Oreochromis niloticus: one gene and its partner. The protein of the gene in region 2 purifies or fractionates together with the protein of the main gene of each other region. This does not show direct contact. Links are inferred from orthologs where the notes say so. Each region holds a gene or a part of one and is shown on either strand. Other genes may lie near its edges. The genes, in order: pex26 and pex1.

Region 1 (7,477 bases), on a different chromosome or scaffold from region 2:
CAAACAAATACATCCAAGACTCTACCGGCCTCAGTTAGCATGTCAAGTGCAACACTTCTAAAAATGTCCTTTGGAGAGACGAGACCAAAGTGGCAATGTTTGGCTGTAATGCAGAGCACCATGTTTGTTGACAACCAGACACAGCATATCAGGACAAACACCTCATGTCATGCACAGTGGCAGAGGGGTCATGGTTTAGGCTTGTTTTGCAGCCACAGGACCTCAGCACATTGCAGTACACAAAACTTAAACTGACTATTATAACTATTGTTATAATCATTTAACAAATTTCAGATTCCTACAGTGATACACTGATTGCAACTGTTTTCTTACCCCTACTCATCATTCTAGGTACTCTGAACCAGAACAGTGAGTCACTTCCCAGACTTAAAAAAGGAAAAGAAAAAAAAAAAAAACACACATCAGACTCTTGATGATTCATGTGTTGCTTTGAGATGGACAAACAAAGGATGTATTAGTGAGGAGCTGGGGAGAATTTATGGGAAGCTGTGTCATGTGAGCTGAAGAGTCTGCAGCTTAAAAAAAAAGAAGCTATTTTCCTGGAATGAGGACGCTTTAAATGTTTTATAGATCTGACGTGAATATCATCCATGTTGTCTTACAAACAGTCCTTAGAGAATTCATTTAAAATGATAGACCTAGCATATTCAGTCCTCTACAGTCCTTTGCTCTGAGTGACTGCCTGATAATAGGGTGCAAACATGGCGTTCCACATCTGTTTGAGCAGCTGCAGAAGTTTCGAAATCCACATGAACGCAGACGGGAGAGCTGCAGGTAAAAAAAGCACAACAGAAACGCATTTACAGTCACTTTTATTTTAACTTCTAAAAGATGATGATGTACCAGTAGAACTAAGGAACATTTCACCCAACCTGGATCCATCCGAAAAAAGAGCATGTAGAGGAGGATGGCAGTCAGAAAGATTCTCCGGAAAGGGAATGAGCCAGAACCAATCATCAGGAGTTTTCGGTATAAAAACCTGATCACAGCCTCAAGTTTATGGACTAAAGTACCTGCAGAACAAAAGCAAAATCACAAACAGTTAACAGTTTCAGTCTTTTTTAGGCCGCTTGGCGTAATGCATCTCATAAGGGTTTAGGCTGAAGTGTCAGACCTTGGGATGAGACAGGATGTTCAGTGACGTCAGAGCTTCCACTCATCCTGGGATTTAGAGGAGGGTCTTGATTTTGTCGCTCTTTTTCTTCTATGATATCCAGCGCTGTCTGTCTGTGTTCTTCTGTGAAGGCGCTGCTAAAAACCTCGCCTCTGATCAGCTCCCGAGCCTCGTCTGCCTCTCTCAGCGGCACAAGGACATGCAGCAGGTACAGCTCTGCGACGGTCCTGAAGCTAGTCGCCCTGCTGTTGGACGGGTAGTGTAACCAGGCTCTGGTCACCTCCTGCATTACAGCAGGCTCACCCACCTTGGAGTAAAGAAGTATACTGCCAAAATGAGACACAAAATCACATTAGTAAGAATTTTATTGAATTTTTTAAAGAAAAAAAAATCCTAAATAGTTAATGCAATACTTTTCTTAACCCCTTATGTTAAAGCTTAAAGTCTACATGTGAGTCATATCTTGATCGTCTGACTTAAAATCCACTGTGTGATCATGTATATCTCTCAATTCTTTGTAAAACACAAACAAACACATCACCCCCTTTAGCAGAAATAAATTATTTTGGCTGTCCTGCACTCTTGTCCTTCAGTCTTTAATTCTGAAGGCACCACACATGTCATCATCAGTCCCAGAAGTCAGAGGTTAAAATAGGAAAGAGTTTCTAAGTATTGGCACAGTATCTGGGAACCTTGGCTCCAAATTTATGGATATCAGGGTGTGATAAATGTCTGTTTCGTTACTAGAAAAGGTCACTTTTATGTAGGATTTTTTTTGAGTTTATCACCCATTTCCAGTCGTTGTCCAAATATTTAAAAAAGCCAACCATTTTTCACTGGACCTACCCACTGACATAGTAGATTTGGGATTACAGTCTCCAATTTTGCCTGCTGCAGAGCTTTGGAGGGTATACATTTTGGACTTCACAGTTTTTCCTACAGATAAAGACCTCTTCCATAGCCATTCAGACCTCATCAAAGCAATTGAGTAATAAATAAAAGTTCACTTTTTCTTACACTTTGTACAACAGTGTGGGCTTTCACAAATGTGACCTCACTAGGTAAAAAAAATAATTAAAAAAAAATATGGCTCATCAAGTCAAAACTTCTAGTTTTATATTTATGGGACAGTCTGGGCAATGAGCTAGTGGAACTTGCTCTGTCATTTTACACATTTATTAATTTAAGCCTAAATAATTGTGATAACAGATGTCTTTTATTTACTACAAAAACATTTCTTTATCAAAAAAGGCTGAAGTCATTAATATAAGGTTTGATTATAACAGCACTCATAACAAATAATTAAATTTTATTTTCATTTTTAATTCATGATTAAGTTAATGGCGGATTAAATGTGCTGATTGAAAAAACATGTCTTGGAGAATTTGCATATTTGAACCCTAATACGATTTGTATTTTATACTTTATTTCATATTGTGTCCACCTGCCCAAAGGCTGGGGATCAATAGATCAGTGTCTAATAACAATAACAACAACAATAATAATAATAATAATGATAATGATAATGAAACTCTTTCCTCACCACATCTGCATGATCTTCGCTGGTATTTTCTCCTGCTCATACTGTTGCAGGACCCAGCAGAGGACATCACGCCACTGATTGAGCTCAGCCAGAGCCTGAATCCCTAAGATGCAGAAACCAGCCTTGAGCTCTGCACATCTGCAGGAACATTAAAGACGTTTGTGTTATAACACAAACATCCAAGCTTCCAGTTACACATGTGCGTGAAGCTTCAGGACCCTCACCTGCTGTCCTCGGGCTCCAGGCCATCGAGACTCTCCAGACCTCTGAGACATGTGTCAAAAGCCGCTTGGAAGTCTCTGTGCACCATCATTTGTTCTGCAGCCGACTCCAGCGTGTTGAACATCTGGGTCACAGCAGCAGAGAGCGGAGGGCTGGCGGCCTGGAAGCTGTTCATGACTCCCGGATGAACTTAAAACAAACCCAACAAACACTCAAAGGGTTTAAAGCACTTTAGCTTGCAGCTAAGCACGAAATTTTCCACAACGGTTTGTTTACCTTCCGTTTAGCTTCCTGGTATTAGTCCACTGTCCAATCAGAAGCCACAGTCTTCAGAATGTCCGAGGCAGCCAATCATATTGCAGCTCTTTCCAAAGCACGTGATTCATTTTTTCCCCAAGCTTCTAAACACGTGTGCGGAGTAGAAGAGTGTGTTGTTCACACAGTTTAAGCGTCAAGAAGCTCATCTGCTGCTTCTGTGGGAAGTAAGTCAGACTTGTATGTCATATAGTGGATTAATGATTACACCTGTATGAGTTTAATGAGGGAACGAGGCTATTTTTATGTGTTTTTAAGACTGGTGCCTCATTAGGAGTTGGGTAGCTAACTTGCTAGGCTTATTGTGACGGCCAGTATCGTGTAACTAAACGGAATTAACAGCATTTTACCATTTCTTTTTGGAGGGGGGTGGATGATGATGATGATGATGATGTTGATGATGTTAGTGCTGTAAATGTTCAACAGACCAAACGTTAAAGTTTATTACCGAAGCTGCTCATTCCCGTTTTGTTGAGGTTTAACAGCTCAGTGGATTCGCTAATCCTAACTTGCCTATAAAGTCCTTAGGTTTACGTTATTAATCATGGAAGGGAAATTGTAGTACTGCACGCGTCGGCCACTTTGTAAGGTACATCTGTTTACGATTCAGCCAGTCACGCGGCAGCAACTCGGTGGATTTAGTGAAATGTGAAAGAAAGGTGATGTAGGTGAGTTTGAATGCGGCATAGTTGTTGGTCTGAGTGTTTAAGAAGATGCTGATCTGCTGGGATTTTTTTAATATTTTTAATATCAGTGTTGGGTACTAGAGACCAGCTCAATGTTTATAGAGGTGTAGAAGAAGACAGTCTGAATGCGTGATCAGTTTTATTTAGACTTCTCTCCCAGGTTTATTTAACTTTATTAGTTAGTTTGTAAAGATGTTGCACAGTTTATTTTCATTGTTTTTTTGTTTTGTTAGTAGTATTACTAAAAAAACGTTATAAATGGATTTTTTTCATTCTACCTACACAAATAGGTGTCATATTTAAATGATATACATCGTCTTGACGTTCCTGAAAGTAAATCATAGATTAATTAAAATCCAAACATCCTCCTGAATCCTGGGCTTCAGCTCAGGTAGTGTGGAAGAAATCGGCAGTCATTGGCGAGACATGTCGCCTCAGACCATCCATTTGTCTTCACCGCTTGTTTTTACTGTTGCGTGGTGTATGGATACATGTGAAAGTCCTAAAAATTCGTGAACCCAAGTTTGCTTGACTGGTGATTTGTTAATGTGTTCGCAGCATCTTTAAAATGGCAAAAAGCCTTCGGAGTAAATGGAAGCGAAAGATGCGGGCAGAGAAGAGGAAGAAGAACGCTCCAAAGGAGCTGAATCGTCTGAAACAAGCTCTGACCCTTGATAAGAAAGGAGAAGTCGTCATGACTGACATGCAGGAGATCGCCACAGTGGTGCCAGCTGAGAAGATAAAGAAGCAGGCCGACGTTAACATGGAGGAGGCAGAACCTGATGGTAAGACAGTGAGCACCACAGTCAGCAGCCTTAATAGTTGTTGTTTTGATTTTTTGGGGGGGTTTTTTGTTTTTTTAAATTTCGAGGTGATGTCACACATTTTTCTGTGCCACATGTATCGTTTGCAAACATGAGGAAACCGCTTGTGAGCATGTTGAAGCCGTCCTCACTGCTGTGTGTCTGTGTTTCAGATGGGAAGATGGACATGGACAGCAAGCGCAACAAGAAAACTCTTCTGGATGAACATGGACAGTATCCGGCGTGGATGAGCCAGCGGCAGGCCAAGAAAATGAGGGGCAAACGATTGGGAAAGAAAGGTGGCAAGGGCAAGAAGAAGAAGAATGTTGCCTGGTAAACCACCAAACGGGAAGACCGTCATTTTAGCTATAAGACTCTGGAAGCTGAAACACAGCATCCTTTTGTGATAAGTGTTGTGTTTCTTAATTAAATTTCATTGTGTCTGGTGGATTTGAAGATTCCCGGGCTTTGCCACAGAGCCTGAGATCGTACAAAAGTTCACTGCAGAAACTGGTTTGTTCTCATGGAACAGCAAAACCCTCTCTGACTTGAGATCAGCGCACGGAAAACGTGTGTGTAGTGCGTCTGACTGCAGAAATGTGAGTGGTGCACGTGTATTCTCTGCCGCAAGTTAAGTCTCTAAACTCCCATAAAAAAATCTGTCCTATGATTTGTTCTGTTCATTTTCTTGACATCATGCAACTCCTGGAGGTGTGTCAAAAAAACAGAATTATTAGTATTTTAATATGATTTATAATTTCAATTGTTGTTTGTCATAACTTTAATTCATTATGCACATTCTTTACAATTACAGAACAGTGCAAAAGTGCATGGTGGATGCAGATGTGATGGTGCCGCTTTTATCGTGTACTTGTCCGGTTTCCTCTTTTTATGGACACACTGCATGCACAACATGCCAAGATATGCCGACAATCACCTCGTTGGTGCAAAACTCCTATTTCAAGCCCCTCACACTGTGTTATCTTTGGTGTTTTTCATACATTCAACTAAAGAAATGACAATAAATGATGTTTTTGGTGACAGACTAGTAAACACAACTTAAAATTAGTTCATTGCTAAGTTGTCTGTTATGTGTATACACATATCTTGAGTTAGGTGGGGGGGGGTTTTACGCTTGAATGATTCATAGGTCAGTGTTAAGCGTTTCAACAATCAAACAAATATTCCTCTGAAATGGTCGGGTACAATGACTGGGCTGAAAATGAGTTTAAAAAAAAGCAGCCGAAGTCAAGCACTTTTAAAAAAATTACAAGAAGGTCCGGCTCGTACAATATATTGAAAAGGAAAACGTTAACATTTCTTAAAATGTGCATCATAGGCTATGTCTATCATCTGGTGATTTATTTTTGCTATATCTGTGCAGCAGTGGCTGCTATGGAGGTATATCATAAAAGGCCAGACCTGTGTCTCCCCAGTTATAGCTCTGTTTCACCTGTCAGGTAACTGCCTAAACCGCTGCACAATAAAGTAACCTGTTTAATGCCGGTGCTTGGCCATAGTTAACGTGATACTGGCCTAATCTTTTTGCGAGGGTTTTCTACTTTTACTGTTTAGGGTTAGACAAAATGTTTTATTATCAATGTTGGCTTCTTATAATTTAATTTTGTAAACATGGGTAGAATAATGAAACGCATGTTCTCCAGCCATTATGGTTTGTGGCTGTGCATAGAGAAGATGACTTGGCCTGCATAGCTTTGAAGCTACTGTTTCACAGTAGAATACATATTAAGGATTTTCCTTCCCACACTTCATAATGCCTCCCTTTTTTTGTAATACTAACATAAACATGGTGTTATACTGATGAACATGCAACGTTTAAGTGCGCAAGAAATCATGCATAGCCCGCTGCAGAGTCGTTACATGTTTAAGGATTAATTATCACCTCACTTATCACTGTGTCCAAACACCAAGATGGCGATGGCTAAAATGATCAGCTGGTGCTCCACAAAACAGTGTTTTTAGGTCAGTGTAACCGCATCAGAGGAAAGACAAAACACAGGTTGCCAGGAGGATTTTATTAGAATAGCAGAGCCATTTCAGGTCATGACTGTGATTACATTGGTAAATAAAAATCCAGTGAAAGAAATGAAGAATAAGGTCATATACCCTCAGTTCCTTGCAGAGGTGTACATGTTTGCTTCTGATCAGGATTGGCCTGATGCTTTTCCAGTCGGCACATTCAAAGCGAAATATTACACAAATCAACTGATTTAAAAAATTTGCTCTGATTTGATTGTTAAATACAAATTCCTCCCTCTGTTCAACAATATTGAAGTTTGTTTAAGTGAAGCTTGTGCAAAAATAGACTTTGGGAGCGTGTTGCTCACTCGATCAGCTGAACGTAAGCAGCCGGGAACAGACCGGTACGTCCGTGACACTGTCCCTTCCACCAGCCCTCATCAATCATCTCTATGTTGTGGATTATGTCGTCTGGATTGAAGGAGATCTCGTCATCGGCCTCTGTGTGAAAAAAGAAAAGCAAAGGATTTATCCTCACATTTAAGCACTTGTGTCACCGCGTCAAAGGCCAAAGGAACACCTGTGCTCACGATCCCCTTTCAGTGTGTAAACAAGGCAAACCAAAGTAGCCCAGATCAGCTATTCCACAATGAGTACTGAATGTGTAGGTGTGACATTTATATGTGCACAAGGTCACATTTATCATGAAACATAGAAAATGGAGAGTCTTACCTCCCTGATAGTCATAAATTGCAATTGCCTTCTGGCCACATGTCAGGTCTTCATAGTCGTT
Region 2 (8,016 bases):
CTGATCAAATTATATGTCCTTGTACTTCATTTACATCCGACACTGTAACGCAGATGTACATTCCAGCACTCACCAGTGGATTTAGGGGTTGTAGGCAAATAGTAGAAGCTACTTTGATAGCTGATTTCACTGACTTAATTCTTACTGTTGAATGGGCAGGGATATTCAGCCTGCTGGCCAGAGGCTCTGGAATCTAAAAAATGAAAGATACAAAAATTTTAACCAAAACAGAAAGAACTAGGGCACTGCGGTATAGCTAAAATACTGTTTATAAACTATATATTCTCCTCTTCAGACACCATACTCACCCATACTCTTCCACTGTGAATCTCTCCCTTGCTTCTTTCCTTGCATCCAAACAGCTCGGTACAATGGCACACTGCCCTAACCACCATGGCCTCCTCTTCCTTCACCTCCTCTCCTTCAGGTGTAGCAGTCTCCTTAGTAACTCTTGGCTTCTTCTTTTTCTCCATTGCCTGCTTGGTTCTGTCCCTCATTTCTTTGGGGGATGGGACTTTGGAGAGAAGGCCATATGTAATTGAGGAGTGACCTTCACTCAGCCTGGCATTGAAACTGTGGCTCCAAGGAAAGATGTGAATAGCATTAGTTGCAACGTGGCTTATAGTGCTGAGAGAGTGGGGAGGTGAACCGCACACTCTGTACAGAGAGTCCGTAAGGAGAGCGGGGATTTCAGGTAAAGGCGGTTGTTCCTTAACTGGGTCATAAGCGCCCTTTATCATGTGATGAAAAAGGCTTTTCAGGTCTGCTATGCCACCCCACTGGTGGCTGTTAGAGGTGGAGGAGGTACTTTCTGATGATGGTCCTGAAGGGGAGGAGAAATCCATGTTTGGCTGTCTGTGAAAACTTTCTGAGTTTGGGTTGGCTTTTAGTTGAGAATGTGTGTGGGTGCCAGTTTCTGCGCGGATCTTCGGGGACACAACAAGTTCTGTGAACTGCTCCAGGCGACCGTAGGGCACACGTGGAGAAAGTGAAGCTGTGCAGAATTTAAAAAAAATTAAACTGTATTATATAAGTCAAACATTTAAAAATGAAGTTGAGCAGGCAAACCATTATAACTGCAATATTTCTGTGTAACATGTTATTTGATAAACAACATATAACAGAATAATTGTATCAAAACTGACCTATTCGGATAAAGATTACCGTGTGGTTGTCCACCCACACAGGAAACACGGCATCTTGGAAAACTACTCTGATCTGATCCAGTAGTTGCAGCTCCAGTGCAGAACTGTGGAGCTCCTGGCGATGTCAGTCACACAAAAGTGATATATTAATACTTCTTAAGAGTGCTTTAAAAAGGAGAAGTCACCTTGTAGTTATTAGAGTGTGTAAAATAGTGCAAATTGTATGAAGACAAGTTTCACACACTGTATGTAACTAAATTACCCACCAGGATTTCCCAGTCATCAGCTGATACAGGCTCCACAAACACCCGATCCAATGATGAGACCTGATGACATGGCCTTAAGAAGCCCTGAGGGAAAACAAGCCAGTAAACCAAACAACTAGTAAGTCCAAAATTAGCTTCTTCTGTAAATACAGCGAAGAACAGATTCCTCACGGAGGGACTCTACCTGCTCTCCATCTGTCAGGCCCTGCTTCTCTCCTAGCTGCCGACACAGCTCCACTTTGTGGCTGTCCAGGCTAGAGCTGGCTCTGTTTTGAGTCCAGGTGAGGAACACTGGAGGCCCATGACCACAGGACAACTCCAGAGGCTGGTTCTGAAAAAGACCGTAAATGGGTTGACTGTGAATGCCACTGTATACAAAAGTATTCTAAAGTCATTGCCAAGTTGCATCCCATGCAACTTGGCAATGACCCCAAATTAGAGCAGCAAATCTACAACAGAGTGGCTGTAAAGGAAAGGAATCAGTGTGTTGCAATGGCCCAGTCAAAGTCCAGACCTCAGCCTGATTGAAATGCAGGGTCTAAAGAGAGCTGTGCATAAAAAAATTCATGCAAACACTGTGAAGTAGAGTGGGACAAAGTTTCTCCACAACACTGCGAGACACTAATAAAGACATAAATAAAATGGTTACTTCAATTTAGTGCTGCTAAAGGTGGTTGTACCAACTTTACTGAATCAAGGGGTGTACTTTGTTTTTCACATGACTGCATGTTTGCTGAAGCACCTTTTGTTTACCCAGACTATACCATGACCATCATCCTTGCTTGCAACCATGCTTGAGAAAACAAATCCTCCTCACTCAATCCATTTTACACAGTTTAGACTAATAATGACAGGGTTAACCCAGTTCTGAATCCTTTGTAATTAAAGGTCAAACTCAAGGAGAGAAAGCCACGAAACAGGAATTCCTGTCAGCCAAAAAAGTGCAAATATAAACAGAAAGCTCTCATCAGAAAACCACTGTTCATTCATAACAGCGAACAGGACACAAGCTAGAAAAGTCATTTAAAAAATACCCTTAGACCCCGGATTCATTTCTAACACAGTCCTTTGCCTCCACCAAGTGAAACCGTAAAGGAACTGCTACGAAAACAGCTCCACCGAGAAGGAAACAAATACTGAAATACCAATTGCTAACTACCCTCTCTCTCCATATGCTGAAGTATTGTGTTTGACTCAGCTCCTCTTCTATCTATATTCAGAGCATGTTTCCAGCCGGGCCGAAGTGGAGTGAATGGAGTCATGAAAAACTGATCTTTCAAATTCATTTGGTCTAAAGAGCAGCCTGACGCGAGGCTGAAGTCACATTTTATTTTGTAATGTGAATAACTGTCAAAGGGTCTCGAAAATTAATTTACAGCAGCATTAATTTTGTTAAAAAATAAAAGAATAGAACAACACACAGAACGGGCCAACATTTTAGCTAAAAATGGTTTAAGTCAACAAAGCTTCTACTAATTTTACCTAAACGATAGTGCTAGGTGGTTAGCTAGGCTATCTTACCTCGTTCAGGGAAAGCTGTGATATTAGCTTCAAGGGAAGGTGTAAAAAGCAGTTTTTTGCGTTGTTAAAAGTGACCGTTACGGGTTGAATGCCCTGATTGCTAAACATGATTTTCACATAGTTTTCTATTTCGCGTTCAACGCGTCAAGCAAGCTGCACCGCTAACATCAAGTGTGTGACAAACTCATAGTCGATCGATGTGCTCTGTGTGGGCCAGGCCAGACCAGAGTAGCCGATATTCGGTTGAACGCATTTCAGAATAAGACATCCAACGACGCCATGCTTTGAATGAATCCTATTCAACATGAAAATGAACCTTTATTTTGAAATGCATCAAGTGAAAAGTTCATTTCCACAAACATGGCGGCTCCCGTCAACAACAGCTCTGGCTGTTGGAGAGTCCCGGAGGTTTACAAACATCACGAACAGCGGAGAGTGTGCATTTCTCGACCAAAATATAGGGAAGGAAGAAAAGCCAAAGCAGTTAAGGTAAGAAGACGCTTCTGTTTAGAAATATTTGACCAAAAGAGCGTATCTTAAGGTGTGAGACACCCCCTGCTACGTGGGAACGCCACTTACAGTGTTGTTAAAAAACATCTGCTCCCGGATTTTATGGACTCCAGTGAACCACAGTGAGAGCCTTGACCACATCTAGATGATAAATATAACCACTATTCGCAGTTTTCACATGAGCATTTTTCCATCAGTGTACCGCAGTCAAGTGTTGCATTATTTGCAGGTTTACACCATAAATTTAGAGAGTCGTTACCTGATGGTCCAAGGAGTCCCAGCGATTGGGGTTATGACTGAGTTGATTCAGCTGTGTGCCCTTTATGGAGCTGTGGAGGAGTACAGGCCCCTGGACGAGTATCCTGCCGAGGAGTTCACAGAGGTCTACCTCGTAAAGTTCCAAAAACTCACAAGTGCCAGGTACAAGATGTAACTTAGACTGTTCATTATGCCTAACTTGCAAAGTCTGAAGGACCTTCTGAATAATTTGGTTTTGTTTCAGAGCAGCAAAGCGACGCATGGATGAGAAAAGTTTCTATGGTGGTGTGCTGCATGTGTGCTACGTCCCCGAATACGAGACTGTGGAAGACACCAGGCTCAAGCTGCAGGACCGGAGGAGCTATGTCATCCGGGCTGCTCAGAAGAGAGGTATAATTTTATATCTATAGGTTATATTTTGCCTCACAAAAACGACCACTCCAATGAGAAACATCTTAGTTCCTCATTAGTCCAAGCAAACAATTTCCACCATTTCCCTTTTGCACTTTTATTTTAATTTGACTCGGATCTTTTTGAATGATGGGGATTTCTAAACTTTTTTTTCTGTCTCATTTTATTATTGCAAAGTGAGAGAAAGGGAACAGAAAGAGGACACACAAGAGGAGCCTTCTTCATCAGAAACAACTACCATGTCAGATGACAACATCCTCACACACAAACAGACCTCTGGAAATGACAATACAAGGGAGACTTCAAACGTCAGCCACTATTTAGGCTTTCCTCCACTGCCATTACCTCCCCAAAAACATCATTACCATAGGCCTAAAAGTCAACATTTACCGACAGAGGATAAAATGGGGACTTTACACAATACCTGTGCTGGCACATTCGAGCAGCGAGAAGGGAGTTCAAGGAGCAAACAGACCTTATTGAGCAGACAGGCAGCACATCAGGCTGCGGCAGTCAGATTTCTTCCTCGGACCACACACTTGGAGAAACGGAAACGCAAAATGGAAGAGGCTGAGGAGCCCTCCAGTACTGTTTCTGGGCAGAATGAGCCTTTGATTGGACCAAAACTACCAGAACCATCCAAACTGGACATGGAGGATGAGTCACTGAACACAACTGTCAGCCTGATCAGGAACACAATGAAGCAGGTACATGTGATTATATTGTTTTGGTTGTAGTTAAGGACAAAATAATATTTTCACTATGATCTAAATCAGTTAAACCAGTTTCATCGTCTCTCCTAGGTGACATCGAGTCCAGACATCAAACCAGTGGAGAAGAAGGTCAAACCACGCCGTCGGATTTGATAGAGCAGGACTTTTTATTTATTTATTTTTTATTAAAAAATTTTGCATCACAGGACCATCTGCCATTGAGGTTAATATTAAAGATGTTTAGGCTGGGTATGGAGTTATGTGATTTGTTTATTGTTCCATTTGTTCCTGAAATACGCGTCCCTCAAACATCTCGATTCTCTGAAAAAATAAGAAAAGCAGACTGTAAGATTGAGAATTTTTGATGGGGAAATTTAAAGAGCTTAGAAGCTTCTCATTACAGATTACCCTGAAGTCAGGAAGGCAGGTTCCAAAAGCTTCCAGCAATAGGTTTTCATCTTTCACAGCCTTTTCAAAATCTTCAAAAGACAATTTGCCATCATGGTCATAGTCCTGTGGGAGGAAGCACCGTTGGCAGAGCTGGTAAACTATTTACAGACCTAAGAATTTTTTAAATAGTGTTTTGGGTTTGTTTTTTGTTTTTAAATCATGTGTAAACAGTTATATCTGTGCAGCAAACAGCTCACCATCTTCTTCAGTATGATCTCCACCAGGTCTTTGATTCCTTCGTCAGGGTCCTCCTCATTGGGTTGTCTGATGAGCCTGCCCTTCAGCATATGAAGCATCTCCTCTCTAGAGATGGCGTTGTCACCATTCAGGTCGTACACAGTGAAGCAGTCTGAGCCATGCCAAACACAGGGATTTTTTTAGGTAGATAAAGCTACATGTGTGAAGGTGTGAGAGTGAGCTTAAGCAAAAAAAAGTAAGATTGAGAAGTTACATTTTATTTTTTCATCCAAGGTCCCCCGAAGAAAGACAGACAGTCCGTCGATCCACTCTTTCATGCTGACAACGCTGTCGTTGTCTTTGTCAAAGGTCCTGAAGACTGAATGACAGCCAGTTACACTCACAACATGTCTTGGATTTAATTATAGATTTCAATTGTTCGTACTGAAGAAATTGCTCATTCCCAACTCTGTACTCCTGGACAAGCGTACTGAAGGATTTAATTTAATCATTCTGAAAGAGGTGGTGCAAGTGAGAATTCTGGGTTGTGCCAAATTGGAGAGTACTTACAGGGTGATAGTGATGATTTGGAGATTTTGCTTACTTCACCATTTTATTGACATTTTACTATTTCAAAAAACAATCTTGGCTCTGTTTGAATTTTATGGCACCAACATATCTCAAGACAGCTGAGAGGGCAACAGTAGGGTGCAAAACTAAGTGGTACTAAAAAAAAAAAAAACGATGGAGGAAGATTTTGCAACTTTAGGTTAATTGGCAGAAGGTCACTGACATGAATGGATTTTTTTTTTTTTTAAAGCATCTTGGAGAAGCAGAGTTCCTCAAAAGTAAAGATGGGCCAAGGTTTGCCAATCTGCAAAAAACTGCATCTACAGTTTATGCAAATTCAAAATGATCAAATTTACATTTTACAGAGCGTCCCACCTTTTTTTTTTTTTTTTGGAAATGGGTTTATAAATAATATAATTATAAATAACCGTAAACTGAATACCTCTACCCGTCATCCTGTCATCAGTCAGTCCAAAGATGCTGTGGAGTGTGCTTATGAACTTCCCTCGGTCCAGACCGTGCACAGCTCTGCCAGAGTTGTTCTGCTCCGCCATAAGCACGTTAAACTCTCGGATAAGGCACTCAACCTCTTTTTTACTGACTATAAACAGAAACATAAAACAATGGCGTACACTTCATCTGCTCTAACAATACTTAGACGGCAGTGTGTATTTTCATACCTGCTAAGTAAAACAATGAACCGTAAAGCTTAGCATGGACTGCACTAAACTACCGCTATGACAAAGCTGGCTTAGTTTATCCCGGGTTTATTGATTTGAGAAGTTTAACTGTCATACTCACAGTGCTCCACTTGTTTCGAAATGTTTTCAGCGAGCGTCTGTGTCGTCCTTTTGTTCATAGCAGATATTTTTGACATTTTCGATGGGGCCAAACTCAGCTACAGTCCACTCACAGCGAAGTTGATGTACTGTCGCCATGGCTACCGCGAAACGTTCAGGGTCGCGTGTGTTTAAGAACCTCGACGGTTCACTACAGGTGGAAACACCGTAACTACACATCATTTTCTACTTGAATTTTTAGTGCAGTAACACAAACGAAAATATGTCCCAACACTGACTGTCCTGTATCTGTTCCACTAGAATGACAATGAACCGCTGGCTGACCAAAAACCCTTTCTTTAGGGCTATTTATTGTCCTTCAGGTCAACACGTTCATTTATATACTGAACAGGTACACATGAAACATGTTAAAATAGTTTTTTAACCCATCATCAGACCAAAATCACACATCAGAAAGAGGGCGGCTATATACTGTTTATGTTTATTATACAGTTTTGGGGAAAGAAATGTTTACTTTTAGTCACTTCAGGAACCTAATTAAAGCTTTGCTAAAATTTATATTTACCATCTAAGGTATCTTGGTGTTTGAGAAAAAGAAAAGAAAATGTGGGTGTTATGGAAGAATAGTGCAATAGTAATAGTCAGATTCATCAAAGCTACTAGTCCAAATATATATATTTCATATATGCAATCCGAATTAAGTAAAATTTAAATGCATATATCTCATAATATTAATCATTCATTTAACGTATTATAGCCCAATCTTCTTTTAAAAATGACTTTCTCATATAAAATGTACTTGTTTTTCCAGATTGTAGCATGCTTGCAAGGCATTTTCCAATATAGAGTGCCCCATTCCTGATGGGGTTTTTTTTTTTTTTTGGGTCACATTTAAGTTTGAGACAAAGCAGCAAGGCAGCTAGAGATGATTGTTTGATGGTCATTGGATGAGTCGTTAATGTGTTCTTGGAGTAATTTTGGAGGGCCGGCCACTCCTGGCAAGATTTAACATTGTTTTCTCAGTTTGTTGATAATGGCTGGAGTCCCAAAGCACTAGAAATGGCTTTGTTGCCCTTTCCAGTCTGACAGATGTCAGCGACTTTGTTTCCCAGCAGTTTCTTTAGAGGCATGATGTGTTACTTTTTGAAAACTTTTAATCCACTTCACTTTGTGTGATAGGTTCTATTACTATGTC

What was found.
Region 1: the proteins of pex1 (region 2) and pex26 purify together in Homo sapiens (affinity purification with western blotting; 3 studies listed by BioGRID and IntAct, with this or other methods). This does not show direct contact. The link is inferred for Oreochromis niloticus from reciprocal best matches to the Homo sapiens genes PEX1 and PEX26.

What each region holds. Positions count from the first base shown.
Region 1 is NC_031981.2:14,339,906-14,347,382, forward strand, and holds the start of pex26 (peroxisome assembly protein 26), read right to left. Parts: upstream 3,244-7,477; 5' UTR 3,177-3,243; exon of another isoform or gene 3,090-3,176; 5' UTR 3,076-3,089; coding exon 2,903-3,075; intron 2,817-2,902; coding exon 2,679-2,816; intron 1,462-2,678; coding exon 1,136-1,461; intron 1,035-1,135; coding exon 894-1,034; intron 790-893; coding exon 677-789; 3' UTR 1-676. Other genes in the region: llph (protein LLP homolog), read left to right, coding at 4,470-4,686, 4,878-5,041; hcls1 (src substrate protein p85-like), read right to left, coding at 7,049-7,185, 7,417-7,477. UniProt on the Homo sapiens protein: Peroxisomal docking factor that anchors PEX1 and PEX6 to peroxisome membranes. PEX26 is therefore required for the formation of the PEX1-PEX6 AAA ATPase complex, a complex that mediates the extraction of the PEX5 receptor from peroxisomal membrane.
Region 2 is NC_031985.2:22,584,566-22,592,581, reverse strand, and holds the start of pex1 (peroxisomal ATPase PEX1), read right to left. Parts: upstream 3,173-8,016; 5' UTR 3,041-3,172; coding exon 2,933-3,040; intron 1,743-2,932; coding exon 1,596-1,742; intron 1,496-1,595; coding exon 1,412-1,495; intron 1,261-1,411; coding exon 1,146-1,260; intron 995-1,145; coding exon 309-994; intron 194-308; coding exon 74-193; intron 1-73. Other genes in the region: rbm48 (RNA-binding protein 48), read left to right, coding at 3,293-3,421, 3,672-3,862, 3,945-4,090, 4,289-4,818, 4,915-4,977; clxn (calaxin), read right to left, coding at 5,095-5,145, 5,233-5,337, 5,472-5,623, 5,726-5,830, 6,464-6,622, 6,823-6,898. UniProt on the Homo sapiens protein: Component of the PEX1-PEX6 AAA ATPase complex, a protein dislocase complex that mediates the ATP-dependent extraction of the PEX5 receptor from peroxisomal membranes, an essential step for PEX5 recycling.